6 linked regions of the Sus scrofa genome follow. The protein of the gene in region 6 interacts with the protein of the main gene of each other region in a pairwise test. Links are inferred from orthologs where the notes say so. Each region holds a gene or a part of one and is shown on either strand. Other genes may lie near its edges.

Region 1 (5,379 bases), on a different chromosome or scaffold from region 6:
TAGCTAGGCTTTATGCCTTGACATGTTTTGTTGGGAACAAGATTATAAAGAATAAAAAAACCTTCCTTCCTCTCTCCCTAAGTGGATATGGAAAGCTCCTGAAAGTGCATGAGATGGGATAGAGGTCGGAGGAACTCCTGGCTCTGTTTCCCCTCTTCTCCCTTCCATGTGCTGGACTGCCTCAACACATCCTGGCTCCAAGGGTAAATCAGGGACAAAGCCAGGGAGAAAACCACCAAGAACTCTTGTAATAAGCTGGACCCAGTTTGAAGAAGTTCAGTAAATATAAAAATAAAAGCCATTTAAACTCTATATTCAAAAAAGCAACATAAGTGCCTTTTCTTCTTTTGCCAGTTAAGGAGCTCCACTGACTCTATAGACTCTATGATTCTGTGGGGAAGTGCCATCTTCCAAATGTTTTTTTTTTTTTTTTTTTTTTTTCAAATCCCTAAATCAGAGGAAAAAACATTCCCAGAAAAAAGACCGTATTTCTTTGTTTTGTTTCTCCTGTATAAAAAAGGATTCTAGTATCAAGGTACAGGGAAGGGGAGAGCAAGGAACATACCCCTTGGTGTAAGGAAATGGGGGGGGGTAAGTCTCAAAAGGAGGGGAGGGAGGGGAATGTCATTAAGGCAGCAAAATATTCTCTGTAAAAAGACAGAGGCAGTCGTCTCCACACCCCAGAGATGAAGGCAGAGATCGACTTCTCGGCAAGGGACTCTCAAGTGTTCAAAGGAAGGGAAGTGTTGGCTTCTCTTCTCTTGGTTCTGTTGCAACCATTCCATTGCTCACTCTGGGTTACCTTCTGCCTTATGTAGATAAGAGTGCTGCAGGGCTCGGAAGGCAGAGATTCGCTTGTGTGGGTTAAAAGTCAGCATCTCCTAAGAAGGGAGGCAAAGGTCAGAAAACTGTGAAGAAAACAAAATAGACTTCTACTCACCCTTAACAATATCTAGAATGGGTTCTTTTCTATCTCTCTTTGTGGACTGCCATTCAAAGCAGCAAGAGAAAACTAGCCCATCCACTAATGAGTCTCAGTGATCACAATGTGTTTGGGTCCCTTTTATACTGCTGTTTTTTCACCCCAATCTCACCCTGTGCCCATACCCAAGCCCAGTACCAGTAGCAGCTGTGCTCCAGACTCCTCCATCTCAGGTACCACCGACTGCACTGGGCGGGGCCCTCTGGGGGAAAAGGCTCCTCGGGGTAGAGACACATCTCGGGGCCAGTCATCCTCTGGGGGCAGCCCAATCAGGCTATGGGAAACAGGAGAACTCTGGTCAGGAGGGCCCGTCTCTAGCCCCCACCCCCAGGGGCAGAGCCAGTTTCCAACCAGGGCTCAGCAGAAAGAGGACGACTAAGAATGGAAAACTCTTTTCCCTTCCCAATCACTTACTCAAAGATTTTGCCTAACTGGTCAGCTTCAGAGTTTCCACAGAAGAGAGGCCTGAGGTGAGAAAAGACATAAGACAGCAGTCATTTTCAAACATATGGTGGAAGAATGATTACAGCTTAGTAGCTCAGAACATCGGGTATGTAGAATAAAGAGCTATGGAATTCCTAATTCCAGGATATTTCAGAGCTTCTGGTTATAGACCAGATGGTCAGGAGTACTCAAGTAGAAGAGTGGCCATGACATGGATGTGGTTTATGAATAAGAGATTTGGGAAATTATGGGTTATTTGGGCCCCATACTTTCGACGAAACATCTCTGCGAAGATACAGCCAACGCTCCACATGTCCACAGGTGTTGCATACGTAGACTGCAAAAGAACTTCTGGAGCACGGTACCAGAGTGTAACCACCTAATAGGAATAAGAAGGGTCGATGAGGTCCCTACTCCTTACCATGAAGCACAACTGCTTCACTGAAGTCAAGCACGTAAAAAACACGTGACTTCCCAACTGCTACGAGCAAGCATTCTCCTCCCACTAACCAGAAGCCATTTTGGCTACCATCTTTCTACTGACCACAGGTGTAAGTGCCATCTGGTAGCTGTAGATTCTGGCCAGGCCAAAGTCAGCCAGCTTGACTGTCCCACCACTTGTAACCAGAATGTTCTCTGGCTTCAGGTCTCGATGAACGATGCAGTTGGCATGAAGGAAATCTAGGCCTCTTAGAAACTGACGCATCAGATCCTGGTTTAGAAGGGGGAGGTACAGAGAAACTGGAAACTAGGCATCATACTGGAAGCCACAACAGATGCTACTACAAAGATCCCAGTTTACTTCTCAGTATATGTCCATCCTACTCACCTTGATGGTCTCCACCGGCAAGCCTGGTGGGGGTGCCTTGTCCAGATATGTCCTTAGATCTTGGTCCACATGCTCAAACACCAGGGTCACTTTGGTCTCTCGATCAGTTCGGGCAGTGGCACAGACATCCATCAGCCTGGCCAGAACAAAAGGTCACTCAGTGATCAATCATCTTTGACCTAACATGGCTTCCCCTATTCCTTCAGGGTCCCCACTTCTTTCAACCACCACTCCCCACCTACAGGTTGTCTATTCCTTTTTACTACCCACTCCCAACCCTCCACCTTCTTCTCACCGGACAACATTGGGATGCTCGAAAGCCTCCAGCCGGCGCAGTAAGGCCACTTCACGAACCGTGCTGATGGGCAGGCCCCCTCCAGCACCTCCTCCATTGGGGACTCTTACGCTCTTGAGGGCCACAAAGTGGCCACTGTGGGGATCCCGTGCTTTGTACACGGTCCCATAGGCACCAACACCAATCTCCGCCACTGGTTCATACCGGGAGGTAGCCATTCTCAGACCAGATGAGACCCTACAATCACAGAGACTCCTGCCACCAAATTCCCTTCCAGAGTTCAAATAGTTATGAGCCTGCGGCAACAAAGTGTCTCGCACAAAACATATCCCAAAGACAACAAGAGCAGCATCCCGTCCCTTCCCCAAATTTCCATAAGGCCGACCCCCCTAGGTAACACAATGATTAACCAAAAGCCCTCCAGCCACGTGAGGCCCTAGAATTAAAAAATTCCTTCTTCTTTGGGACTATCAAGCCCTGTACAAGGGAAATCCCACACGACACACCCCCTGCATTGAAGACCCTTCACCTAGTCCTTTAAATTACACCTCCCTATGACCACAAAGGAACATACTACACCCTGCACCACTTCCCGCCCTCGAGCGACCCTTCCAGACCAGCCCGCGTAGGAAGCCGGGGAGGACTAGAATGGTCCCTATTCCTGGAAGGGGGCTACACTTACCTCGCCCCGTGTCAGGAGCTGCGGGGGCGGCCCGTTATCGGGGCCCCGGAGCCGGTTCTTGCAGCGCCATGCACTCGAGCTCTGTCTGGGGCAGCTGGACTCTACGGGCCCGACCATAGACATAGGCCGCAGGCTAGAGCGGCCCCCTTTGCCCCCACCCTCACCATGTGACCAGCTGCCAAAGAGGCGCGCGGAAACTGGCAGGGCGGGGCGAATGTGCCGGACGTTCGGAACACGTGACCAGAGTACGCGTGCGCAGAAAGGCAGCTTGGAGCCTATTTGACCGGGAAGGGGGCGGGGAAGGGAAAGGGGCGGAGGGGCGATGGCAGCCACGTGATCTGTTGCTATCACACGTGACCGCTTGACTGCTTGGAGGAGCAGAGGTGTGGTTACGCTGTAGGGCACGTGACTGGCTGCCGTAACTCTGGCGAGGGGGGGGCGGGAGCCTAGAGAAGGTGGAGTCCAATACGGTGCCATGGCAACCTGGGCCACCCAGATCCCAATTCCCCATTGCAGGCCGAGCCGGAGCGCCAACTCCAGTGTCACTATGCGTCTGTCACTCTATATGCAGAGTGGGGGGCCTGGGGACGTGAGGAGGTGCTGTCGCCTTTATGTACCACCGCCATCGGAAAACATATTCTCATTTGTGTCTTTGTTTCATTCACTCATTCAACAAATTTTTACCGAACGCTTACTTCCTGTGTAAATGTACGGTTTTTGCTACATGAGTTTTTTTGGTGTCTCAGGCACTAGCCCTTTAAGGTAGTGAAAAGGCTATATGTAAAGATATAGCCGGCAGCGTGATCATATAAAATAGAGAGGACACAATACCCGTTTTAGGGCAAAACTAGCATTAAAGGACTGATGGAAGGCAGATAAATACAGTAATCCAACAGGAAGCGTGGCAAGGTAGTGTGCCTTCACCTCTTCAGAACTTCCATTTCTCCCTGGGAGTGTTAAAGCAGAATCTAGATACCTCCTGGCAGAGAGGTTATTAATGAGCTGGAAACAGGAATACTTGACCTTTAAGGTTCTTTTCCAGAGTTCCTGCTGTGGTGCAGCGGGGTGAGATCCGTTGAGTTAGTTGTCTCTGTGGTGGCACAGGTTCAACCCTACCAGGCGCAGGGGGTTAGCGATCCCACGTTGATACATCTGCAGCTCGGATTCAGTTCCTGGCCGGGAACTTCCATATGCCACAGGTGGGGCCAAAAAAAAAGTTTCTTTTCTGCACTAAGATGGTGTGTGTGTGTGTGTGTGTGTGCACGCGCGCGCGCACGCTATTATATACATCATATACAGATGGATATAGGAATGAGTGTGTGCAAGGAAGTTACCACCACATTGCATAAAAATGACTATGCCCTTGTCCAAACCTTCTAACTTTTTATATGGGGCCATTGAGTGGCCTTCTCTTCCACCAGTGCAAGCTTCCTTAGCCTTTGTCCCTCCACAGAACAAATGTTCCCCACTCACAGACATCTAGGTAGGCAATAGGCAGGTTTCTCTGGCTTCTCTTGTCTTACTGGCTCCAACTTCTTTATCTCCCAACCCTTTGGGGGAATGGGGATAAGGAAACGTAAGGATCAGTGTCTCATTAATGATAAACTGTCTAATATCTGAAACCATTCTATTAGTCTATTTGCTCTCCTTGCACCCTAACTTCTGTTCTCCTTAACCATCTGGCTGAGGATGTCAAGCTTGAGATGAACATAAATTGTGTTGCATTCTTTTTTTTTTTGTCTTTTGTTTTTTTTTAGGGCCACACCTGTAGCATATGGAGGTTCCCAGGCTAGGGTTCGAATCAGAGCTGTAGCTGCCAGCCTACACCACAGCCACAGCAATGCTGGATCCTTAACCCACTGAGCGGAGCCAGGGATCTAACCTGAGTCCTCATGGATACTAGTCAGGTTCATTAACCACCGAGCCATGGCTGGAACTCCATGTTGCATTCTGAAAGTTCTAGCTCTGGGCCCTTGCTGGCAAGGGCAGCTGGGATACTAGTAAGAAACATCTCAAGGTCTAAACTGGCTAAATTGCTCCATTGGCTGTTTTGCTAGGAACGTTCCTGAAGTCTGTCTCTGAGTGTGCCGAACTCCCTTCCCATACCAGCAGGGTTCATTTTAGCCTCACCTTCCAATGAAGCCCCC
Region 2 (5,460 bases), on a different chromosome or scaffold from region 6:
GCCCTTGGGGCGAGTTCTTGGGAATATTCTAAGGCTTCAATGAAACTCAAGGGTCTTTGGATGCAGTCTTCCCTGAATCTGGAGCTAACGTAACACGATCTCAGGATGGTGGGTGGACGACAAAGCAGGTGGACTAGAAGGGGGATCTCCTAGTGTGGCTGCAACCAAAAATCCCCTTTACTCAGCTCCTGGGGTTCTGAGAGCAGGCAGAATGAACAATCCCGAGGTCCACCCAGGATTCGGGCCAAGATTCCTGGATTTCTGGGGATAAGGTCAAATTCAAGATTTCTTTGAAGAACCTCTCCTTTGTAATCGCCGAGGGCAAAGGGGTCTTCGACTCATGTGAGGGTGGTCTCGAAGGGCTAATATCCCACCTGGGTTTCCCCCTGCAAGGCTGTGGCAAGCAAGACAAGGAGGGGATGCCCCTTCATGGAGCACACATTCAGATGTCTGCCTGGCCACCTCTCTCTAGGGAGTTTAGGTGCCTCTTAGCAATTGGCTGGTTCGTATAAACCCCGAACCTGGATCCAACTCGCAGGGAGGTTAGAGAATCCTCAGAGTCCCACGCAGCTGTAAACCGTATGAGGTTACCATGGAACCGCAGGTTAGGACCCACTGGGACCCCGTAGTGGAAACAGTGGAGCCACACAACTGAACCTGAGATGCAATCGTATCAGGCCACAGTCACTCATGCATTCACTCAGCCGTCACAGACCTCCCCCTTGGGAGGTCCCTTCCTGGGGTCGTCAGACTGGAAGACGTAGGTCTCCTCTTCTGCCAGTAGGCAGGACCTGACGGGGACTGGCCTCGGGGCCTTACCTTATTCCGGAGCTTTAACTAGTCTTGCTTGGGAGTTGGTCCGTCTCTCCACCGAGTCCGGTTGGGGTTCGGCCATTGGGAGGACTGGAGCACCGCCACGAAGGAGGACCCGAAATACCGTCGGGTGGAGCACCGCCTCGTTCGCCTCCGGAGCTCCCCAGCCTTCCTGCAGCTTCACCGCAGCCCCGGTGGCTCAAAGGGCCAGAACGGTTGGGGTCTCGCTGGGGCCTCCAGAAATGTTACAGCTCCACGTGCAGCACCGACCAGCGAGAAACCAAGCGACACTGGGAGAGGAGGAGAATTTAGCTCTCATACCCGGCCGGCCTGGGGAAGATTGCTCTCCAGAACCCAGGCCCCGAACAGGGGTGCTACAGGCTTTTACAGGCCAGTTCTTCTGGGTCCACGCTTGGAGGGGTGGACCGGAGTGGGAACTGGAGGAGCCGGCGGCAGGGAATGTTCCAGCTTTAGGTGTGGGTCTGTTAGTGGTCACATGATCATGGGGGGGCGCTGAGCAAGCGGGGCTTACAGAAGCAGAACTTGCAGTTGGAGAGGTTTTCCATTAGTAATGTCAGGTTTTCCCTTTCATTCCCCCAGGGCCAGCCCTGGGTTAGGGAGCGTCCGCTCTTCTCCTCCCATCGGTCGGGCAGCCACGCTACCTTTTGTACGGGGTCAGCTCATTGGGCAGATTCGGCAGACGCCCCGCCCTGAGCCCCGAACTGGCCAATTGCAAGGAGTTTCACGGCCTGCCGCGCGCGAGGGGTTGTCACCGTGCTGCGACGCTTCGGGGATCCCTAGGCCTCAATGATCTTTGCTCCCCGGCCCCGGGCCCTAGCCCCAAGGAGACCTCCAGGACCCGTGCCCGGGGAGGTGCCCGCGGGGCATCCGGGGGGCCCTTGGAGATCTCGGCCTCCTGGTTGCCCCGCCGCACGCCGGCGTGTCCTCGGATAGACGCGGGCCCCGCGAAGGGGAGTTTGCAGACGCTCCCTCACATAAGGGACGCGGCTCCTTTAAGGGCACAGGTGTCCAGGGCGCCGCCTGACTGGAAAGCCGCCCCCGGGGCTGGGCTCCCAGGCCTGGCCCGGGGCGCGGGCGCCCGGCGGCGGGGCACGGGCGGCGGGCGGCGCACAGCGACGTGGACGGCGCGGGGCGTGCGGCGGCAGCGGCGGGGCGCGGGGCAGGCGCGCGGCGGGCAGACTCCGCAGGCCCCGCCCCGCCCCGCCCGCGCCGGGGTCCTCGAGCGCTCGGGCTGCGCGCGGAGCGGGCTCGGGAGGGAAGTCCCGAGACAAAGGAGCGCCGCCGCCGCCGCCGCCGCCGCCGCCTCGTCCGCCTCACTCGCCGGGCCGCGGCCGCCCGAGGTGAGCGCGGCGAGACGGGCGGGCCGGGGACCGGGCCTTGTCGGGCTGGGGCCTCCGCCGCCGTCGGGCCCGGCCAGGCGGGCTCCCTCCACCCGCGGCCCGGCCGGGCCCGCTCCCGGGAACCGGCCTGCCCCGGTGTGTTGACGCCGCGGCGTGGGCCGGCCCGCTGGGCTCCGCGGCCCCAGACGGCGGGGGCGTCCACTCGGGCGCGCGCTCGGGGCGGGTCGCATCGCGGCCGGGCCGCAGACGGCGCCCGCCGCTCGGGCTGCGCTGACAGGAGCGCGAGCGGGCGCCGAGCCCTCCGCCGAGGCGGAGCGTTTCCGGGGTCACGGTCTGCGCGCGAACCTGTGGCGTGTGCCAGCCCTGGAGACGACGCATCGCACAAAGAGCGCAAAGCCTCGCGCTGCGGCAGCGCCGGCCCGTTTGGGGGTGGTGTGTGGTGTCTGTAAATCAAAACAAGTCCGAGTTCTTGCGCCTCCGGAGCCTCGGCCGCAGTTGGTGGGACCCTGGGCACCCGCGCTTCCTTTGACGGGGAATTTTCCTCCTGGGACTGCTTTGTACCAAGTGCACGGAGGCTGGAAGTGGTAGTTGAGCCAGGAGCAGGAAGGCCAGAGAATGATTAGCTGGGCTCGCGGTAACGGCCTGCACCTGCCTCTCAATCACAGAATTCACTGGTTTGGTTTGTGTGGTTTGAAAACAAGCTTAGTTCCTCGGGTTGCAAAGTTGTTGTTCTGTGTTTGCAGAGTTGGTGCCCTTTCCAGACCCCTAACCTCAAACGTTTCTTGCTACTAAGGAAAACTTTTTGGGTTGGAAGTCTTCCCACCAGAAGAGGGGAGTGGATCCCAAGTTTTCCCTGACTTGCTCATGGCCCGCCGGGTGGTTTAGGGGGTGAACTCTGCATCTTGTTGCGATAGTCTTGCTCGGGATTTGGGGCCTGGCTGCAGAAACGGGCAAGAACAGGGCGTGCACCTGGGCTGGAGAGTCTCCCGAGTGCAGGGTGCCTGCATCAGGTGAAGCAAATGCCTTCCCCCTGGGAAGCTGATGTTTGGGTGGGAAGGGCCCATCCTGGGCTGCTGATCCTTGCTCACTTTCACCCTGGGCCAACCCGTGAGTTCACAGTGCTGTGGCTTATCGCACAGCTGAGAAGGCTGAGGCTGGGAGAGAGAAGCATCTCGCCCGCATGTGCAGCCAGTTAGTGGCTCTGCAGGCTTTGCTGTCAAATCGCAGCGTGTGATCTAAGAAGAGGGGATTCAGGCACAGCTCACTCTGGAGGAAGGTGGCGTGGAGACTTCCAGAATCTGCCTGGACATCCCAGCTGCTGTCCTGCAGGCTAGCGGTTCGTGGGTATTTCATCCTTGCATCCTAACAATGTCCATCTCTGGAGTGTCTGCTAACATTCAGCTGCTTCGGGTGACTCTTGGTTGGGGAAGGCAGATTTAATTTTAAGTGGGATTCTGAAGGAGTAGCTCCCCTTGTCATTAAAATGTAACAAATTGGGTGCTTTCTCCCGGATAAGGGAAGGCCAGGCCTCTCTGCCTGGGCCTGTGGCTCTTCACCCTTTTGTTGCCTGGTCTGGTCCCCTGGCACCCCTGAGGAAGGGGAGGCAGGAGTTCCTGTGGGACCCCCCCCATTACCTTTGGCGCAGCCACAGCTGGGCTCTGGGACAGCCTGCAGAGGCAACTTTGTCCCTTGTCAGCAGAAGAGGTGGCCTGTGGCCGGGTGCTGGCGCACGGTCAGCAGGCAGGCAGCACTCAGGATGGCCCCCCTGGCCTGGTCTGCATCCTGGACAAGCCGTGACCCCTGCCCTCCTCCCCGAGCAGCCTCAGTTGCCCATTTAGTATCCATGGCTCCTCAGTGTCCACAGTGGTGCCCTGGGCCTTCATGACCCATGGTCAGCGCCTGGCCAGGTGCAGACTCACGGGGAGCAGCCGCTTGCTGGACTCCTGCCTCCGTTAATTCAGACGTGTCCGCCTGCTGCCGCCTTTGCCCTGGCTGCCCAGGGGCTGCAGAGACCCTCCAGATTCCTCAAGCCCTGCGGGAGGGGCAGCCCCACTAGCTGCTGGAGTGGGTGGGGCAGGGTTCTGTTTAGAAGTGAAGGGTTGGGGAGTTCCCGTCCCGGCTCAGAGGTTAACAAACCCGACTAGTATCCCGGAGGATGCAGGTTCGGTCCCCGGCCCGGCTCAGTGGGTTAAGGAGCTGGCGTTGCTGAGCTGTGGTGTCGGCCAGCGGCTACAGCTCCAATTTAACCCCTAGCTTGGGAACCTCCATATGCCACAGGTGCAGCTCTAAAAAAAGACCAAAAAAAGTGAAGGGTTGGAGGCAGTCAAGGGAAGGAAAGCTTTTCAGACTCGGGGTCACTGCCCCCGCCTCCCTTGGGCGGTCCCTGGCCCTCGCAGCCAGTGACCCTCCTGGCTCTTCTTTCTGTTCCTGGTGAGCCCGCCTGGAACAGTCCCTTGCATTGCTGCAGCTTGTGCCCACGCGGGCACCTGACCCTGTAGGACCGGGTGCCTCCCTGCCATCGTCCTGCTTCCTGTGTCCTGGCACCTAGCACTTCCCAGCACACGTCTTCCTCCTGCGTGGGCCTTCTGCACAGCCACAACTCTGTCTCTCCTCAGTTTGTGTTGTGTGAACAGACAGATCCCAGGCGGGGAGTTCCCATTGTGGCTCAGTGGTAACAAACCCGACTAGTGTCCATAAGGACGTAGGTTTGAGCCCTGGCCTCGCTCGGTGATCCAGCCTTGCTGTGAGCTGCAGCGTAGGTCACAGATGTGATTTGGATCCTGCATTGCTGTGGCTGTGTCGTAGGCCAGCAGCCGTAGGTCTGATTGAATCCCTAGCCTGGGAAGTTCTGTAGGCCGCAGGTGCCGCCCTAAAAAGACCAAAAAAAAAAAAAGCTGTTCTGTTTTGGGTGCAGGACTGGTGTTACTTGTCTGGGACTTAATCTTGAAGCCTGGCGGGGTGAGAGCCTGTGGAAGGTGTGCTCAGAGTGCTGGGGTGGAGCTGCACCTGTTCCCATGCCTCCTGAGTGGCAGGGGCTTCAAGTTTTGACCGTCTCTGTTCCTCATGGTGGCACGAGCACACCTGCTTGTGGACAGTGCACCACATGCAGTTGGTCCGGTGGTCTGCACTAACTCACCCTGCTTCCGAGACCCGGGCTCCTGTGTCGTGCTGGAGGCTGCCACGGTGATCCCCAAAGGACACCCAGAGTTCCCGGCTCCATGGGGCCCCTGGGCCTGGGGCCCGTCCGTGTCATAAACACCCACTGAGGCTGCCATCCCGGCCTCGC
Region 3 (5,552 bases), on a different chromosome or scaffold from region 6:
TAGCCATCAAGTCAATATCTTCTGCTTTCCTTTCCCCTTCTGTTTCCCTGAGCTCCTACCCCAGAGGGGTCAGTTAACATACCTGCTCTCCAAAGGCAGACGGGTAGTTCACCTATGATCAGCCCTGGCTGGGGAAGGAGGAAGACAGGACTTATCTAGGAATGATGTCCAAATGCTGGTTAAGACAGGTATTCCTAATCAAAATGATCAAACTCAGTTTCAAAACTAAATAAATAGATTTCGATAGTAAGGTATGTTGGTTCAAAACACCTGAGTTCCAAGGTCTGAATCAAGACTGTTTTTGTAGATTTCCTGTTGTGGAGCAGCAGAAACAAATCAGACTAGGAACCATGAGGTTGCAGGTTCCAGTCCTGGCCTCGCTCAACGGGTTAAGGATCCAGCTTTGCCATGAGCTGTGGTGTAGGCTGCAGATGTGGCTTGGATCCCGAGTTGCTGTGGTGTAGGGTGGCAGCTGTAGCTCCAACTGGACCCCTAGCCTGAGAACCTCCATATGCCATGGGTGTGGCCCATAAAAACCAAAAAAAAAAAAAAAAAGACTGTTTTTGTGACCTGAAGTGACTGCCTGACTATCCATTATGTAAGAATTCAAAAACTCATGTTTTCATCCAAAAGCAAAGGATAAAACATCTTCCAGCTAACAAATTCTAAAACAACAGTGGAATTAAGCCATACTAATTATTTAAATATTTTAATTAGCTAAACTACTGGCTAACAACAAGCTAGGTATATGTCACAGGCATCAGAAATCCAAGATTTTATCACTTAAAAGAGCAGAACAAGAGCCAGTATTTAAGCATGGTGCTCCCTAACCACACTTGGCCCTCCAATAGTGTCCTTCACTCATTCATCAGACTTCTACTGAGCATCTACGGGTAGGCACTACCCTTGTACTCATGGATATAAAACTAAAGACATGGCTTGCAGTCCTTATAACTCACAACCCAAAATTCAATATTCACCTCTGATGCTGTCCTCAGTAAGAGACAACTGGAAAAATTAAGACACTACCATAATAAAAAAGCTTTAGGTCTTTCTCAGTTTGGGTAGGGAGAACATTTCACAGGTAACCTGCCAAGAAATTCAGGATAAAAGACAACTTTTCTTTCTGTCCACCTCAAGCACATCCCAGCACCTGCAATTAGGAGGTCCCAGCACCAATCACTTACCCTGATGAAAAGTGCAGTCCTCTCTGGTCCACTGCTCTGTAACAGGGCTCCAATCACTGCAAAGAAAGTCTGCCTTAACACAGGCGGGGGAACAGGAAACTCTGCACTCAGCGCTAACTGCTCCACAGCCAGGTTTCTAGCCACATGACACACAACTTCCTCACTGGTGAGAAAGTCAACTAGACTTGTAACGCCTTCAGTGGGCAAGTCTGGGAAGGCGTCCTCAAAAAATTGTGTGAGGCAAGTTTGTGAAAAAGATATCCCTTGTTCAGATAGTTCTTGATTATCTTTAAGGTTCAGAAGAGCAGCTTCTTTGTCTATTCCAAGTTTTTGGCGTTTGGCCTCCTCACTTTTAATATAGCAGCTATTAACAAATGCAGTTTTGAGAAGATCTAGGGAAAAGGTTTCCTGTAACCGATGGCCAAATGCTTGTATTTCAGCATGGTAATCCCAGTTGGGCTTCTCTGAACTGAAAATGTAAAACAGAAGACAGAAAAAGTAGGTAAAGAGAACAAGATGCTATTATGACGCAAACATTTTTCACTGTGATGCAATTTTATTCATTATATAAAGGAAATTTTAAAAGACTGACTTTCATTTTAATTCCAGACTCTGATTTTCTGAAAATTAAAACTCAAGTCCGAAGATTATTTGTGGTTCTTTGCCGGATTAATTTTCCCTAAATCAACCGCCACATCGAAACGGTTTTTCAGTATCAAAGACTAAAACATTATCCTAACTTTTGGGTTCTTTATTTCTGCTCTAACCACAGACCTACTTTATACTTAGACATGAAATACAAAGTATAATTTCATAGGTTCAAGCCATAAACAGTAAGCACATTTTATTTACCCAGTATTTTACTGATTTAAGTTTTGATAGCATCCATTTAAATGAGCAATTAAATAAACTAGTATCAATATTATAAGTATGTTAAAAGTTCATAATCATTCTCAAGAGTGACTAAAAGGTCTTAAAGAAAACTCTTTTAAGTAAAAAATGGCAACAAACTATAAAGATCTGGATTATAAATCAAAATGTATATAATCTGTAAAGTTTCTTCCAACTCCAAAAGCCTAATCTCAACAATAATCAAAGAAATGCGAACTAAGAAACACTATTTTGTTATTCTTTTTAGGAAAAGAACTTAGTATTTTGTTTTTGAAAGAACTTTTAAAGAGTACAGAACTATGATCACATATATTCCTAAATTAGGTATGTAAACCAGATCAACTTTTTTTAGAGGGGAGGGCAATATTAAAGTACCTATCAAAATTTCATACTAAATTTCCAAAGGAGTAATAACTTCAAAGCTATTCACTGTTACATCAGTGGTGACAGCAGTAACATGGAATTCGAACACCCATAAATGGAGCCATAAAAGAGTGAGGTTCATTTACCTATACGACCACAACTACGTGTCAGAGATACATTATTAAAGAGAAAAAGATGCAAAACCTCATGTCTAATAGGATCTTTTGGGGGGGCGGGGGGGGGTAGCTATAAAGATCTGCATCTCTTTCTACGAGAACTTCTACTACTGGAGCAAGGTTAATCAAGGCAAAAACCAGACGTCAAACCGTTTTCCTTTTACTCTGGACAGTGGACTTGTGACTGTACACTTAATCTTTTTCCTTGCCCCAAATCCCGAAGAAGTCTCAGGCAAGACAAAACAGGGGCCACAGCACCCAAGCCCAGATGAAGGTGACCCAGCCGGCCTTATTTCTCGTAACTCTCACTTGACAGGATTCTAAGTGGGAGCTCCGAAGTGTCGGAACCCCTCGGCAGAAATCCATTCCCTTGCCTCGGGCCACTCATGTCCGTCCCGCGGGTGCCTCCACCGCACAAACTCCTCGTCGCCAGCCAGGGGCGCACTAACGACGAGCAACCCGCGCCGCCGCCCGGCCGAGGCCGCAGAGGAGACCTCGCCGGGTCCTCGACAGCCACCCTGACCCCTTCCCTAGACGACTCCTACCGGCGCACGGGCGGCGGAGGGCACCTGAGGAGGCGCCACCGCTCCAACTCCTTCTGGAAGCGGTAGGCGGCGCGGAAGCCCTTCTTTGCTCCCCGAACTGGCGGGGCGAGAGTCGGGGCGGCCGGTGCCAGGAGGCGGCGAGGTCCCCACTGCAGCAGCCTCACCAGCCCGGATGCCATCGCAGGGGAGAGAGCAATGGAGGGCGGAAGGAAAAGAGCCGGATCAGTGTCCCCGGTAACACCGTCCCCCCCGGAACTGGTGGTGGAAAGCGAAGGTGGAGCGGAGCCAGAGCGGGGCAGCAGACAGCCGAGGCTGTTTTACTGCGCATGCACACTCTGTGGGGTTGGTTTGTTTGCTCACCTGGTTTTTACTCTGGTGAACTTGGTTTGAGGTCCGTTTGGATCCAGAAATTTCTCGAAGTTGCTTCGTTTTGTTGGTTGCTCTCGTTCCTTCCTTTCATTAATGTAAAACAGAAGAACAGATTCACGTTTAAAGAAAACACATTCTCACTTATCAGACACAACTTAGAATAGATTTACAAGGAGATCCTGCTGAATAGTATTGAGAACTATGTCTAGATACTCATGTTGCAATAGAACAAAGAGTGGGGGAAAAAACGCAATTGTAATGTATACATGTAAGGATAACCTGACCCCCTTGTTGTACAGTGGGAAAATAAAAAAAAAAAAAAAAAAGAAAAGAAAAAGAAAACACATTCTCAAAAGGGAGGAAACACTTCTTAGCAACATATTATTTAGAGTTCCAGACCATCAAGCGAAACACTGTTTATGTGCAAATATTTACCTGGCATATCTCCAAAAGCCTTTCTTTCAAGAGACCTAGAATAAGAGATACTGACTTACCCAAATTAAAATTGTTACTTAAAAAAAAAATCTAACAGTACCAGTTTTTATTAATCAAAGAAAGGAAGTGGGATGGACTGGAAATTTGGGGTTAATAGATGCAAACTATTGCCTTTGGAATGGATAAGCAATGAGATCCTGCTGTATAGCCCTGAGAACTATATCTAGTCACTTATGATAGAGCATGATAATGTGAGAAAAAGGAATGTGTATGTGTGACTGGGTCACCTCGCTGTACAGTAGAAAATTGACAGAACACTGTAAACCAGCTATAATGGGGGGAAAAATCATTGGATTAAAAAAAAAATAGGAGTTCCCATCATGGCACAGCGGAAACGAATCAGACTAGGAACCATGAGGTTCTGGGTTTGATTCCTGGCCTCGCCCAGTGGGTTAAGGATCTGGCTTGCTGTGAGCTGTGGTTTAGGTCACAGATGAGGCTTGGATCCAGCATTGCCGTGGCTGTAGTGTAGGCTGGCGGCTGTAATTCCAATTAGACCCCTAGCCTGGAAACCTCCATATCTATGGGTGTAGCCCTAAAAAGACAAAAGACCAATAAATAAATAAAATAAATAAATAAATAAATAACAGTGGACTTATAGGTCTTTTTTCTTTCATTCTATAGCAATATGATTATATTGCTTTCCCACTAACCTTACTGTGATTTTTAAAAAATACCTAACGTTAATGCACAAAGGAAGACTTGTCTGAATTCCTAGTTTTGAGTTGCCTACTGAACATCTGGACATTCAAAAGGACACTCTTCTGTGTTTTCTTTGCCCCGATATAGACACCCAGATTGGGTTCTTATGTCTTCAGTGGTTCCTATTTCCAATCTTTTGTCCAGTTGTCAAGTTCTTTTTCAGTTTATTTCCAAAGCAGCTACCTGATGGCTAGCCTACCTCCCTCCCAGGTTGTTGTAATTAGCTTCCAAAGTAATGTGTCTTATACTCTCTTTCTTGGACACATCTCACCTACATTCATATCCCAGATGAAACACAGACCCAAGCATGTTACTACTTAGGTCAAGGATTTTCAATGTTGGGAGTTCCCATTGTGGCTCAGTGGAAATGAACCAGACTAGTATCCATGAGGACACAGGTTCAATCCCTGATCTAGCTCAGTGGGTCAAGGATCTGGCATTGCCATGAGCTATGGCATAGGTTGCAGATGCAGCTCAGATCCAGGATTGCTGTGACTGTGGTGTAGGCTGGCAGCCACAGCTCGGATTTGACCCCTAGCCTGGGAACTTCCATATGCCAAGGGTATGGCCCTAAAAAAAGGCAAAAAAAAAAAAAGAGGAAGAATTTCCAATGTTAGCAGCTGATCAAACTTCTGTCAGGCTCCTCCAAGCCCTCTTCTCAAGGAGGCTTTGACCTTAGGCTTCAGTCTGTCTGTCTTTGTCATGTCTGCATCACCCAGTGTCAGCAAGAATCTTGTTAGGTCAGTTTAGAGAGAATCCCCCAGCCCAATATCTAATCAAATTCATTACTACTCACTATCCCCCAGTGATGTCTGATCACCCCA
Region 4 (4,826 bases), on a different chromosome or scaffold from region 6:
TATGGGGACAATGGGTGCACATAATTCTAATTGAATGTGTGCAGTGCTTTCAATATCGAAAACAACATGCCCTGGTGAAGAGGATGCTGAGTCTTGAAGGATGAATAGAAGTTTGACCAATTTCACACAAGAGGCTGTATTAAGAATTACAAAACACTCAAGACTATATATCAAATACCTTTATCTTAACCAAGGCACAAAAACGTAAAAATAAGTTCACATTAAAGGCTAAAATAGGACACAGATTTTTTTAACAAGAATATTTTTAAAAAACAAAATATATAATCTTAATGCCCAGTCTATGTTTCTAATTTTTATAGTCTCTCTCAGTGGCCAACTGAAAGCATCTTCCACATGTATAATGGGCATTTTAAAATGGAAGGTGTTAGAGACTTATTTCAAGGGATGACCAAATAACCAATCTTCATCTGTCCTATCACCCAAAAGTTTTACTGTTAACTAACGTGTTTTCTAAGTCATAATGTTGACATTACAATGTACGAATAGGTGCCCAAGCCCAGAAGATGCAAGTGACACAGAAACTAATGTGGAAAGAAAAAGCAAAAAGAATTTTTTTAATCACGGTCACTTTTTTCTCTTGTAGATATTCTCAAATTCCCTTCCAAGAACAAATTTAAATGAAACACTTCTTTCTCCCAACTACAGTGATAAAAGAAATAATCTGCGGTAAAAACACAATAAAGAAAATATTAAATCAATTTACTCTACCTGACCTTTACAGGTATTTTAAGGGTGAATCATTTTGATTTTTCAGGATTTAAAGGTCATCTCTGAAAAAAAATTTCTCATCTTGATGATTTAACTTTGATGTTAACAAAGGCTCAAATATGCAGTTAATTCAAAACAGGTACAGTCAACTCAAGTTACGCTACACCGGTATTTAGTCCTATTTCTCAGTATTTTTGTCCTTCTAGTTTCAAATCTTTCTACATAATCTGCCCCTAATTAAACTTCATCTCGGTTGCTATATGCAAAATTAATTTTGTACTAATATTTTAAACTGGGACTCTAGCTCTACAGTTAAAAACCTAGTTGTTAAGTAGCAACATCTGACTTTAATTGTCTGGAACAGCCAAGTGTGGAAAGCTCTAACGTGCCCTACCAGCAGGAGGGGGAAGAAAAGGGGAAAGTCATGCCAAGAGACCACAAATGGTAATTAGCAAAAACCATGGAAGGTTTGAATTCAAAATATGTGGTTTTCATTTGTGTATCTCACCCATTTTTTATTTCTCTCAATTGAGCATCCATATGCTATATACCCATTTTTACAGGGGATTTGCTGAGATCACACCCTTTAGATTTGGCAAACATTAATATCTGGGCTAAGTAATTCTTTAAAATTGCCCATATCAGCACAATCTGATAAATTTAAAGGTTTAACAAAAATCATAATAGGACTAAAGGAAACCTCCTCTTAGAAGAGCATTTTCTTCTAAAGTACAGTTTTGCACACATGATACAGAAAACAGCTGGGCAACAAGATTTTAATTTTATGACTATTTGAAAAACAATAAAAATCTTGAAAGACAGGATTTTAAATTATTTCAATTAATCATGACTTTACATCTTTCAAGAAACTAAAAAAGAAAAATCATGAAAACCTCCCTGAGACATTTGGTCTCTGTTTTTCTAAAACTGCAACTCTTTTGAAATATGCCCAATTTTTCCAAAATGAAAACCTCAAATACCCATTTAGAATGTAAATGTTCCAACTGGTTTCATAAAAGTTCAATCCCCAAAATCTTCGACTCATACTAAAATAATTAAGTATCTTTCAAGCTTATTCAAAGTTCCAGAGTGAAAATGAACAGCCTTTGTCGTAACTCCTATATTATTTTGATCAAGGTTAGTCACAGACTGGCAAATGTGTGAAAAGAGCATTCCTTTTAAAAATCAACTTAGTTTAAAGCCACGTAGTATCAAGAGAGAGGTCAACTTTTCTAACTAGCCAGCTTCAAAGACATAATTTGTTTCAGTAAGCGTACATACCTCATTATTTCCAATCCAATTAAGAAAGCACTGCTTAATAATGTATTTTAGACTTTCTACCTATTTCTTGGGTAAGGGAAAAGGGGAACAGGTGGAGTAGATGAGCAGGAGAACAAAGTCAGTTTCATGCCCATAAATTCAAACCTCCAAGACTTTCTCTTCTTTGACTCTTTAAAATGGCTACCACCTTGATCCACTATGCAAAAGGAAAAATGTACCGCATACTACTACCAAAGATAAACCTGTGTGTTTTTGTTTTGTTTTGTTTTTTCTTTGACAGTGGATGCCCTCCTCTCCCACAAAACACGTTTTAAGATTTCCCATTTCTTTACTGTTCAGGAAAAAGGACCATTAAATAAGTAGGCAAAAGTTGGTCAATTACAGTTTGAGGGCAACCTATATAACTCAGCTTAGGTCATCTTTCCTATAATATCTGAGTAGGAAAAGCAGGTAACATTATCTTTCACAGACTAAGATCAAACACTGTAGAACTGAAAAGGATTGTTCAGTCCAGTGAAGGAGAAACAAACGTGGGAAAGCGCAAGTCCCCCCTGCCCCGCCAAGAGATGGTCATTAACAATTTTAGGAATTCAAAAGACTTAGATTAACTATTATACGGGTTAACAAAAATTAAGTTTCTGCTTATGGTTAATATTTCTAAAAGCCATTTTATACCAAACAAAACGACTTGGTGCTCCCAAACCTATGTGTAACACCCAAAAAACTATTCTGTTGAATCCTGTTTACATATTGCTTATACCATTATACCATTTCCTATCCAGCTGAGGCCATTCCATTAACTCTTGCTCTAGAAAACTTACCAGAAAAAAATGCGTTTTCACACATAAAAAATGAAAAAGTATGTAATGCTTTCGACTAATCTTATGCACATACATAGCTACTGAATGGATTAACTCTGCATCTGTTGAATGTCTGCAGAAACATGGCATGATCTTACCTCTCATCCTCGCCATCCACCAGGGGTGTCGTCAGCGGTAGCACCTTCAACGGGAAAAGAGAAGCAGAGGCTGCTAGGCTGCTGCTACTCCCATCTGAAACTGCTGACATTCCCCCACTGTCACCACTGATAGTCTGAGGTAAGCCAACTAAGGAGGGTTCCGCTGGGCGCCTGGCATCTTCAATTTGGCTTCCAATTGCCTGAGCTAATGATTGTGCAGAGAACTGAGTAGAACTTAGTGGTATCTGTTGTGCCAAAGGTAAATTTATATTGGATGCTATCAAGGGAGGTTGACTAACGCTTTGAACCAAATTACCATTCTGAGTGGCAGGGGCTTGTGCTATATTCTGTGATGGAACCAAGTTTGTTGGGGCAGAAGGCATTCCAGAAGGGCCAGTTGAACTAACCTGACTGGTAACAGAAATACTACTAGCAGAGGGCAAAGAACTAACTGCGGGCAACTGCTGCGAAACAATTCCTTGAGCTACTGACTCTACTCCTGGTGGCTGGGGAGGCACAGTTAACAAGGTACTCTGGGGTGCAATGACCAGTTGTTGAGGAAGGCTTGAAGCACTGGTCTGAACTCCCTGATGAAGAATCGCAGCTTGAGCAGGTGGAACTATGTGTGATGGCGGAGGAGCACCTTGCTGGAGAACTGCAGGTGTGACTTGAGGGGAGGGCTGCTGCACTGCTGCAGGTATACTTGCTTGTTGACCAATATTTGCGATTTGACTCCCAGGAGGCACGGCAGAGACTGCTGTTTGAGCCTGGCCCACAGGTTGGCCAGATGCCCCCGCAGGTTGTGCTTGGCCGGCCGCGGGCTGCACCGGCAGCTGGATGCTGGGCGGCTGAGCCAGAGGCATCCCGGGGGCTCCTGCTGCCACTCCCGCAGGGGCAGGCTGGCCAGAGGGCACTGCTGTTTGAAGAAGCGGAGGCTGCACGTACTCGGAGGGAGGATTCGGAGTCACTGTCGTACCGTGGCTTGGGGCCATCTGTGTAGAAACGGGGGGCGGCTGCTGTCCATACTGGAGCTGGTGGGGTGGTGCGCCTGGAAGGGGAGCCTGCACTGCAGGGGCCGCCGGAGAATACGGCAGTTGGGGCTGGGCCAGGCTGGAAACGGAGGGCTGCTGACCCAAAGCTGGAGTTACGCCCACCACACCAACAGGTGTTGGCTGGACACCAGGCGCAGCGGGGAGAGCGGCCTGCACAGGTACTGGCTGGAGACCCTGCTTCTGCTGATAGCTCAGTTCTGGAGGCGGAGGCTGTAACTGCACTTGCGAGACCTGGGGTTGGGAAACACTAGGCGGTACGCTACCCGCTGGGAGGCTCTGGGCGCCCACGCTGCTGCCGAAGTCCATCGGCGGAAGGGCCACAGCTTGAAGGGCCGCTGGTGGTGGCGGCGGCGGCGGCTGCTGCAGCTGCACCACAGCTGGGGCCCCCATCTCGCCGCTCCCCACGCTGTCCGTGTAGTGACTCAGGGTGCTGACGCTGCTGCTCACTGAGCTCCCACTCGTGCTCTCCCTCTCGGAGGTCACCTCAGGCGGGTTTTGTTTTACAGTTTCCACCGCTTTGTTTATCACCACCCCTTCGGCAGGAGGGCCGGCGTTTTCCTTCTCGTAGAACTCGGTGCAAGTCCATCTGCCTTTTTTAAAAGGCTCCGAACTAGAGTCTAACTTTACCACTCGGAACCTCGACGTGTTCACTGCGGGTTGCTGCTGCTGACTCGAGCCCACCGTCACCCCCGCAGCGGCGCTGGCAGCGCTGTTCACCGCAGCGGAGGAAGAAAGAGTACCATTGCCCATGCCGCTCAGGAGATTCACGTTGACACCACCGCTCGCTATAGGCCCCACACTCACGC
Region 5 (4,219 bases), on a different chromosome or scaffold from region 6:
TTCTTCTTTCAATTGCAGTTCAGTAAAATACTCATTTTCATTTACTGCTAAGAGTTTACGTAGCCTGAAACAAACAAAAAAGAAAGAAATTAGATGGTCGTCTGTTTCCTGGTGGGGGGCCTGAGGGCCGGTTCCTTGATCTTCGTGTCCCAGGAGTACCTGGCCAGCTGGCTGGTCTGGATGGAACCACCCTTGACACCACAGCCTTGGGGTAAATGGGAGGCAATGAAAATGCCCTCAACAGGGGGTAAGGGTTTGGTAAAAGCCACTGAGATTCAGGCACTCATCAGGAACCTCCAAGGTCCTACAGCTCAGAGGATCCCATTGAATTTTCAGCATCAGAAGAAGACCCTTGGCGACACCTGGCTGCCCTGGAACATCCCAGCATCAGTCCTGAGCACGTGCCGTGCCCTCACCCTGGCGCGCCCCATAATTTAGTTCCAGTTTGGTTTTGCCTGCTGAGTTTTTGCGAAGAGGAGAGTTGGCTTCCCCCTCCAAGCCAGCTCAGGGACAGAAAGTCTTGCCAGGTGGAGGTCACGCCCCAGGGCTGCCCAAGCCAGGGATGACGGACAGCGTCTTTCAAGCCCTGGTGGTAAGACCGAAATCCCAGTGGCCCCTGGCGGGCACATTCAGAGAGTGGAGGAGCCAGGCCAGGTGCCAAGCCTGGTGGGACCAAGTCCCCCTGCAGGCCTAAGAGAAGTGATTCATCTAAGGTCCTTGGATAGAACCTGACCTTGATCCTGCTTGTGAACCACTATACCACTTTCTCAGAGGCAGTCAATCAACACTTAAGCACCATCAAGACATTCTCAAAAGAAACACTAAGTGTATAAATCAGTACATGGGACAATAAAATCATTTAAAAATAATTTTAAAATAGAACAGCATAAAGATAAAAACTATTTATATTATTCCCAATGCCTATTGGGCCCCAACAAGGTTCACACAAGGGAGGTCCTCCCAACAGCTTCCCGAATTCTGTATTTTCACCATTAAGTTCCATGATAAAGCTGGAAATCCATTCACCATTTGTAAATACATACGGATGTATTTAATAAAAATGCATGGACTTTATCTTGTTCATTCCTGAACCCCAGTATTAAGTACAGTCCCTACATAGGCCAGGTTCTCAAGACTTGACTGACACAAAAATACCGAGACCAGCAAGATTTTTTCTGGTTGGGCTTGACAGAATTTCTGATCTTGCTGGGATCACCATGAAATCCATGGTCTTCAGCTCTGCATTTTCAGCAACGTAGCGTTATCAAGTAATCCTCAGGTGAGTAGTGAGACCCTTGGGAGCTGATTCACGGCAGGGTAGCTTTGTAATGTGTCACCTTGACTAGGCTACGTTTCCCAGTACTCCCTTCCCCGTATGCTTCCGGTTAGGACGGGCCACAAGAAACATTTAGCATCATAACTGGAGGGCAGAAGTGAAGCAGCAGCACATTGTTTTTACTTGGAAGGTTGGTGCAGGGGCACCAGGCACTGTTGCAGTTCACACATGTTGTCATTTATCTGCTGGCTCACCTCGTTGGTATGGGGCAGCAGGCAGACCTGCAGCCAGGCCTGTAGCTACTCCACCTTCCCCAGGATCTTCCTTCAGCTTCTCTAATTCCTAGGCCAGATGCATATTTAACTCTGTGATGAAGGGCACCAGCTTCTTCTGCAGGACACCCATATCATCGAAGTTGGAGGTGGGGAGAGGCTGACATGGGTTCCAGGCCATCCTCGTGGGTTCCAGCTCGTGCTCATGGGCGCCAGTGTGTCCTTGGTCTCCCACACTTTACATCCTTCTTCCCTTCTCGATTGCCTGTCCTGCAGACTTCAAGCTCCAGCATTAGATGCAAAGACGACAGCCTTAAGAGACTGTTCAATGCTCCCACCACTGCATAAGGTCAATCCCTATAATAAATCCCTTAAAATAATACATCTTTATATATACAAATACACACACATATGTATAATCTTTATATTAGTGGTGCTGCTTTTCTGATTGTATCCTGATTCACACAGTAACCACACTCTTTTATCTCTCGAGTCAGAATGCTACTCAAATAACTTTCACTTAGGACACTACTGTTAAAATTACCAGGATACTAGGGGTTGGGTGGCTGGACCCTGGGGGCAGCAAAACAATTATCCAGTCTTGACTCTGGCTGAAGTAAGTAGGGTGAGGCAAAAGAAGGAGCAGAGGCGGGCAGCAGAGGACTGTATGAATTAGAAGAAATGTTTCATCTACATCTGAATTATCTAAAGCTACAGGGCTGGGACTAGAGTAAGGCAAGGGAGGCAGAGAGGCTACCAAATTTATGGAGGCATGCACTCAGCTCCAGCCCTGTAAAGCTAACTAAGTAATGAATCACAGGTCTAATCTTTTTGGCACTTTATGAAGAATAAAAAGTGAGGCAGGGCTGAGCTCCAAGACTAGCCCTTAGGCAGGACTTGAAGCAGGATCTCAGATTCCTAGCAGATAGGGGCTGAGAGCAGAAACCAAGCACAAAGGTCACCAAGGAACAGGGGACGCAATTTGTGAGGAAAGATGAGCCAGGTCAGGAGCTTTACTTCTGAAGATTGCTTTGGCTGAGGATAGGAAGTGACTATAACAAGCAGCAGCCTGTGGGAAAGGATGCCCTTTAGTGTTTGAGAAATTCTATGCAGCACCCAAGTCCTGGGAAGAACCCAGTCTCGGGAGGCACAGATGCTCTGCTAAGGTGACACCATCCACATCCACGCTGCCTTGGCACTCCCTAAAACCATCCCCGGGGCAGCAATGTAAGGGATTTGTTTTAATGCTTAGAGAAATCCATCTTGTTTTCAAGGTCACTGGAAACTTCTGTTACTATAACATTATTATACACTATTGGATATAGGTTATAGTTTACAGTTTAGTGGCTTAACTTAGAACAAGGCTTTTACAATCCTAGGTTTGATTCTAGGCTCTATCAACACTAGCTGTTTGACACTGGACAAGTTATTTAATTTGAGTCTCAGTTTTACTGTCTGCAAAAAGGGGCCAAATCAATGCCTTCCTACAAAGACTATATTGAGTATTAAATAAATTAGGTCCATAAGAGGAACTCACCAAAGAGCAGTTCCTTTCCTCACTTATTTACATTACATTCTCAACTGCTGTCTCCCTGAGGAAATGTTTAGAGACACTGCCAGGTCTCATCCAAAGCCACTTAAAATTATTTATGATGATGGCTTGTTTAGGCTGAAGGTGGCTTTAAATTACATCCCCTCCCCCACCCCAACTCCCCCCCTCCTTAATATCCACACTTCTTAGCACTCAGACTCCTGGGATTTGCACCGATTGGAGCAGACAGAACAACTTTCTACTCTTTTTTTCCTTTTCTGCTTACTTCCTCTATAAGCTCAAAGTACTGAGCAGGCCTGCTCCTCGTATTTGGTGGTAGGTTTTCCCAGTTCCTATTGATTCCCACACAAGCCCTGGCAATCCATCTATGGTCCGGCCTCTGAGCAGATCAGTGTTGTCTCTCATAGAGTCGGTCTGTAAATATCACCTTGAGTCCTACAGTCTGCAGAAGCCTCCAGTCTACTGCTTTCTAGCTCCAGGTTTTTTAAGGTCCTTGGACCTAGAGAAGAGGGAGCAGGTCTGTATGTTGAATGAAGTTCCCTATATGCACAATGGAGCATTACAAAACCATTTCCTACTCTTCTGTATCTGCCATCCAATTCCCCTTAATTATCCCTTTTCTCTCTCTCTGAAAATCTTCCATTACCAACAACATAGCCCACAAGCAAATTGTTACCTTCTCCATTAACATGTAATGATTTCATGCAGAGGAGAAACTGTTTCCCTGTTGGATTATAAGCTTCCTGAAGGCAGGAATCCTGTGTCTCCTGAAGGATAAGCCTTCCAGAGTCACTGATTCACCACTGTACCCGCCACACTGCAGTGTACACAGCAGGTCCTCAATCAGTACCTCAGTACTTGCCCAAGTGCAGGTGGAGGAGCCCGGCCTGCAGATACTAGTTTGCAAGAAAAATGGAGTCCAGGTGCTTAGGCCAACAGTTTATGTGCCTGGGTCTGAGGCTCTGTGCAAGGCTGTCTGTGTTCTGCAGGAGGCAGTATTCCCTTGTTCTCCTCCCACTGTCCCAGTACTTAAAGGCACCTATCCTTCCTTCTACTGCCATGCCTGTAGGGATAGTTCTGTGCAGCAATTGGAACAGTTTCAGAAAGGCTCAAGAAACA
Region 6 (4,826 bases):
CACTTGGATCTGTGTAAAACAGAAGTGCAGAATAGCTAGATCTGTGAGACTTTCTTTAGAGAGAGAAAGTACTACTAATAAAAGGATGGAGATAAGATGATGACATTTCTTTTTCTTCTCACATACACGTAAATGAGAAAGCAAAAGACAGTAAGAATATGACAGAATAAGACAAAGAGACTGAGGAGTTCCCATTGTGGCTCAGCAGAAATGAATCTGACTCGTAACCATGAGGATGTAGGTTCAATCCCTGGCATTGCTCAGTAGGTAAAGGATCCGGCATTGCTGTGAGCTATGGTGTAGGTCACAGACCAGTGGCTCAGATCCTACGCTGCTGTGGGTATGGGGTAGGCCGGCAGCTGCAGCTCAGGCTTTGACCCCTAGCTTGGGAACTTCCATATGCTACAGATGTGGCCCTAAAAAAAAAAAAATGATAAAGAGACTAAGAACAAAACAAATTGTAACTGAAAGCATGATCGAGGGAAGCAAAGAAAAAGAAGAATCAGAAACAAACACAAGACACATATACCCAGGGTTACACAGTGGGGCCATGTCAGCACCCAGCCTGTCTCATAGCTTTCATGGAGGCCTTACAGGAGGAGCTCCAGCTAAGGAAGGAGGTAAAGTGAGGTAAGGAAAGGAAAAAGGAGTGCAGATACATGACAAAGGAAGAGTTAGAAAGAAAAGCAATTGTAACAAAGTTGGAGGGAAGGCCACCAATTCCCCAAGCAACTCACTTGTCGCGGCACCCATCTTTGCAGTCACAGCCAACCAGAAATTCAGGACCTGTGTTAATGAAAACACCCTTGCCCGGGATTCGTTCCTTGCTGTAGGCCACTTGGGGTGGGGGAGTTGTGTCAATCTCATTGACACAGGAGAGGGGAACATCTTCCTTCCCATAGGTGATGTCCAAAATATAGTAAAAAGGCTTATAGGGCTGAAACTTTCGGTCCACAAGAACATATGGATCCAAACAGAACATCTCCAGGAAGAGGAAGTCACAGCCAGTCTCAAAAAGGTAGCGCTCAATTTCCTGCATTGTCCGAAGGCAGAGGCCACAGGGTGTCTTATAGATAACATGAAAGCCCATCTTCCGGTTAACTCGGCGCCGGGCTGTCATCCTCCGGAAGTCATACAGTAGTGGGACTAGGAGAGGGTTCTTGCCCCGATACTGCTCATTTCTCATAGGTCTGACTCGAGACAGACAAGTATAGCTGCACACGTGAGGTAAGTAGAAAAGCTTCTCCATGGGGGCGCGGTAGGAGGGCTCTGCAGGGGCCCGCTCCAGCATGCCATGGAAGGCTGGGGGTGCCGGGGGAGCTGGGGGTGTTGGGGCAGAGGTTGTTGAGCCTAAAGGTGATCTGTAAATGACAGGCAAGACATCAGATAAGAAGGCAATAGGACCTCTCTGTTGTATAATTAGCCTATCAACTGGCTAAGCCCTCTCTCTAACCTTTCAAATAGCTGTACTCTTGGAGCTAAAGATGATACACGAAAGTCAAATTTCCCCTTACCTTACTAAGCCTGGTAAAGTAACACCCTGGTTACTCTTTCTTTGTTCCTTCTCTTTCGGCCGCCTGCAGCATATGGAGTTCCCGGGCCAGGGATCCTTCCAAGCCGCAGTCCTGACCTAAGCCACAGCTGTGGCAACACTGGATCTTTAACCCACTGTACCCGGCCAGGGATCAAACCTGTGTCCCAGTGTTCCTAAGACATCGCCAATCCTGTTGTGCCATAGCGCGAACTTTGTTCCGGTTATTACTGTGGACAGACTGATGATATCTCTATTTCCGTTCGATACATTTTCCTGCCTATGAATTATGGAAGTAGAGTCCAGTCTTCTACCAATGCTTGTTTTTCCTGCTATCTGTCCTATAAATGTCCTTACTAACTCTGATAATTCAAAGCAAGAGGCTAAAGAATTCCCCTTCCCCTTCTATTATAACAATGATGACGCCATATTCAGTGAGCAGTCTTAACAAATGACTTTCCAGTGTCTGTATTTCTAAGCCTCTAGTTTCCAATTCAGTTACTTCTATGTTCGGTTTCTTGGAGACTTTCAAGGTTAAAGCTTTCTTTTCAAGTCCAAAGTCCTCACCATCATAATCTTAACTAGGTCCCCCTTGTGGCCAAGGAACAGTGACCACTATACAGTGACCACTCAGTCCATACTGCCAACCCCTCCAACAGAAAGCCTGAGACTTTCTTACCTATATGTCTGATTGATCCCTGGTTTCCCAACAGGGGCAGTTTCACTGAGTGCAGGGGATGTAGGGGAGGAATGACCAGAGCCCACAGATCCTGGTCGGAAGGATGTGCTTTTTTTGGCTACCTGCTTTCGAGATTGGGCAAGCTGGCTTTCCAAGCTTCTAGGAGATTAGAAATCATATGGTAAGGGATACAGAAATTATTACATAAAAGAAACTAGAAAAAAAGAAGAAATAGCACTCACTCATTGTCACCTGCCTGTGGGGACAGAGGTGGACCTGGTGGGGCGGGGGCAGGTGGGACAGGTGAGGCTGTAGGCTGTGGGGGCTCCAGTGGCTTAAACTGGGTTCCAGTACTGGTCAGATCCTGAGTATACTGGACCACAGGACCTTTGCTCCTCACAGCACCTATAGGAAAAAGGAAACACCAAGAAGATAATAGCTGTGTCATTTATATTAGTGCACACACTTCAACCTCAATTTATAATAGAAAAATGCAATGATGGAGACATTTTGGTTAAGTGCTAAGACTGTTAGATCTCATTATTTACACTGATGAGTGGGAATACTGGCACAGGTTTTTATTTAGACAGTGAAGATTTTATCTTCCTGCCTCAGACGACTTACATTAGTAATTATGCTACATATTTTGTTGCAATTTTAAAAAAAATGCATTCTTTGATCAACTTAGGTTTATCAGGAAAAATTAACCAGAAAGTATGCAAGAACATATAAAAATAAAGACAGTTTGGGCTTTTAAGAAAAACTGACCACAGGAGTTCCTGTAGTGGCTCAGTGGTAATGAAGCCAACTAGTATCCATGAGGACGAAGATTCCATCCCTGGCCTAGCTCAGTGGGCTGGGGATCTGGCGTTGGCATGAGCTGTAATACAGGTTGCAGACTTGGCTTGGATCTGGTGTTGCTGTGGCTGTGGCGTAGGCTGGCAGATACAACTCTGATTCAACTCCTAGCCTGGAAACTTCCATATGCTGCAGGTGCGGCCCTTAAAAAAAAAACTGTGACCAAAGATCACAAACAAATCAGATAATCCTTATGTGGAAAACAGAGGTAGGTAGTCACTACCACCAATACCTCTAACCTAAGGCAATTGTTTCAGATTTTTAGGTGGTTTTTAGAACAAATCAGAGCCACAGAACGTGGAAGGAGCGCCAAAAATCCATTACCACCACTGGAAACAACCCAACAGGCACATGTCCTGTTTCCAATGAGTAAGTAGTGTCATCCTCACAAACAAAGGATAGCCACTGTAGGAGTTCTCCAGTGGCCTAGAGGTTGAGGATCTGGCATTGTCACTGCTGTGTCCATATTCAACCCCTGGCCCAGGAACTTCTGCAGACCATGGCAAAAAAAAAAAAAAAAAAAAAAGATAGCCATTGTATATAAATCCCTTCCCTGTTTGTCCATTTCTTCTCTCTCTCAGGGTATCTTTGAGGACATACCCATATTTGGACGTGTCCTGAGCTGTCCCCCTTGCTTCTTCTCCAGTGCAGAGGCTGAAGATGTCTTCATGCTGAACATGGGCTCCAGCCGTGTAGAGCCTCGATAGATCCATTCACACCTTTTGTCATCCTGAGGGATTGGGAGGCAGAAAGGGTGAGGAGAATGGGTTAAAGGCTGGAATCTGTCCTGCCATTTGTGAAGAATATATATGATGTGCCTCCCTTAGAGGAAATCTCTCCGATGAGCCCTGAGTTCCCTGAAGTTATTTAATAAACTCATGTGCCAGGCTCCATGATGGGTATCAGGAATATTTTTTTCAAAAAACCCCCAAAGCACATATATTCCTGGTTTAAAACATCACAAGAGAGAAAGATGTTTACACTGATTATAAGAAGTGTAACAAGGATCACAAAGCCTTAGGATCAGAGGGCTGAGATAGCTCAGAAAAGAAATATAACTAAGAAAGGTGTGAAAGGAGAGCTAAGGATAGGTACAGAAGACCTAAGAGTTAAACTGGGCCTGGAAAAGGCCTCCAATTCCATCATCCCTCTTTTTTGTCCTACTATGCTACCAAAACCCTAACCCTGGGCAAACACAACTAGCTGCCTTCCTTGTACCTACATACATTGTGGATACTCCTGGAGAAAAATGAAAACAACCATCATGAAGATTAGTGCCACAATTAAATTCAGGGAATTTATTTCCAACAAATTCATAGAGGAACAAAAAAAAAAAAAAGAAAGTAAAATTCAACCCCAAACAGTGAGAAAAGGTAAGAGGATAAGAAAGAGGGAAAAATATGGCACAGCTACAAAATCATCCTATTACTATTTTTTTGTCTTTTCAGGGCCACACCTACAGCTCATGGAGGTTCTCAGGCTAGGGGTCGAATTGAAGCTGTAGCTGCTGGCCTACGCCACAGCCACAACAACGCCAGATCCAAGCGACCTCTGCAACCTACACCACAGCTCACGGCAATGCTGGGTCCTTAACCCACAGAGGGAGGCCAGAGATCAAACCTGCGTCCTCACGTCCTTATTATTGTTGCCTTGTGCTCCTCCATCCCACCCAGACCCCTGCCTCCAAAACTCTTCAGAAGAAGAGTACCAGGAAGAGGATCCTGACTAGGCTGCCGTCCACCTCCTCGACTCGGGACT

What was found.
Region 1: the proteins of SETDB1 (region 6) and CDK4 interact in a two-hybrid assay, tested with the Homo sapiens proteins (2 studies listed by BioGRID and IntAct). The link is inferred for Sus scrofa from reciprocal best matches to the Homo sapiens genes SETDB1 and CDK4.
Region 2: the proteins of SETDB1 (region 6) and UBE2I interact in a two-hybrid assay, tested with the Homo sapiens proteins (2 studies listed by BioGRID and IntAct). The link is inferred for Sus scrofa from reciprocal best matches to the Homo sapiens genes SETDB1 and UBE2I.
Region 3: the proteins of SETDB1 (region 6) and MRPL44 interact in a two-hybrid assay, tested with the Homo sapiens proteins (2 studies listed by BioGRID and IntAct). The link is inferred for Sus scrofa from reciprocal best matches to the Homo sapiens genes SETDB1 and MRPL44.
Region 4: the proteins of SETDB1 (region 6) and TSC22D1 interact in a two-hybrid assay, tested with the Homo sapiens proteins (2 studies listed by BioGRID and IntAct). The link is inferred for Sus scrofa from reciprocal best matches to the Homo sapiens genes SETDB1 and TSC22D1.
Region 5: the proteins of SETDB1 (region 6) and MBD1 interact in binary tests that used the Homo sapiens proteins (3 or more experiments, as listed by UniProt). The link is inferred for Sus scrofa from reciprocal best matches to the Homo sapiens genes SETDB1 and MBD1.

What each region holds. Positions count from the first base shown.
Region 1 is NC_010447.5:23,038,661-23,044,039, forward strand, and holds CDK4 (cyclin-dependent kinase 4), read right to left. Parts: upstream 3,300-5,379; 5' UTR 3,233-3,299; intron 2,788-3,232; 5' UTR 2,769-2,787; coding exon 2,551-2,768; intron 2,392-2,550; coding exon 2,256-2,391; intron 2,139-2,255; coding exon 1,971-2,138; intron 1,806-1,970; coding exon 1,696-1,805; intron 1,448-1,695; coding exon 1,397-1,447; intron 1,257-1,396; coding exon 1,121-1,256; intron 882-1,120; coding exon 789-881; 3' UTR 546-788; downstream 1-545.
Region 2 is NC_010445.4:40,565,536-40,570,995, reverse strand, and holds the start of UBE2I (SUMO-conjugating enzyme UBC9), read left to right. Parts: upstream 1-2,054; 5' UTR 2,055-2,174; intron 2,175-5,460. UniProt on the Homo sapiens protein: Accepts the ubiquitin-like proteins SUMO1, SUMO2, SUMO3, SUMO4 and SUMO1P1/SUMO5 from the UBLE1A-UBLE1B E1 complex and catalyzes their covalent attachment to other proteins with the help of an E3 ligase such as RANBP2, CBX4 and ZNF451.
Region 3 is NC_010457.5:125,730,226-125,735,777, reverse strand, and holds the start of MRPL44 (39S ribosomal protein L44, mitochondrial), read right to left. Parts: upstream 3,360-5,552; 5' UTR 3,342-3,359; coding exon 3,163-3,341; intron 1,657-3,162; coding exon 1,188-1,656; intron 1-1,187. UniProt on the Homo sapiens protein: Component of the 39S subunit of mitochondrial ribosome. May have a function in the assembly/stability of nascent mitochondrial polypeptides exiting the ribosome.
Region 4 is NC_010453.5:22,521,118-22,525,943, reverse strand, and holds part of TSC22D1 (TSC22 domain family protein 1), read right to left. Parts: coding exon 2,969-4,826; intron 1-2,968. UniProt on the Homo sapiens protein: Transcriptional repressor. Acts on the C-type natriuretic peptide (CNP) promoter. Acts to promote CASP3-mediated apoptosis.
Region 5 is NC_010443.5:99,901,181-99,905,399, forward strand, and holds the end of MBD1 (methyl-CpG-binding domain protein 1), read right to left. Parts: intron 3,600-4,219; coding exon of another isoform or gene 3,560-3,599; exon of another isoform or gene 1,826-3,559; coding exon 1,636-1,825; 3' UTR 856-1,635; downstream 1-855. UniProt on the Homo sapiens protein: Transcriptional repressor that binds CpG islands in promoters where the DNA is methylated at position 5 of cytosine within CpG dinucleotides. Binding is abolished by the presence of 7-mG that is produced by DNA damage by methylmethanesulfonate (MMS).
Region 6 is NC_010446.5:98,271,813-98,276,638, forward strand, and holds part of SETDB1 (histone-lysine N-methyltransferase SETDB1), read right to left. Parts: coding exon 4,777-4,826; intron 3,799-4,776; coding exon 3,669-3,798; intron 2,616-3,668; coding exon 2,453-2,615; intron 2,370-2,452; coding exon 2,211-2,369; intron 1,362-2,210; coding exon 738-1,361; intron 10-737; coding exon 1-9. UniProt on the Homo sapiens protein: Histone methyltransferase that specifically trimethylates 'Lys-9' of histone H3. H3 'Lys-9' trimethylation represents a specific tag for epigenetic transcriptional repression by recruiting HP1 (CBX1, CBX3 and/or CBX5) proteins to methylated histones.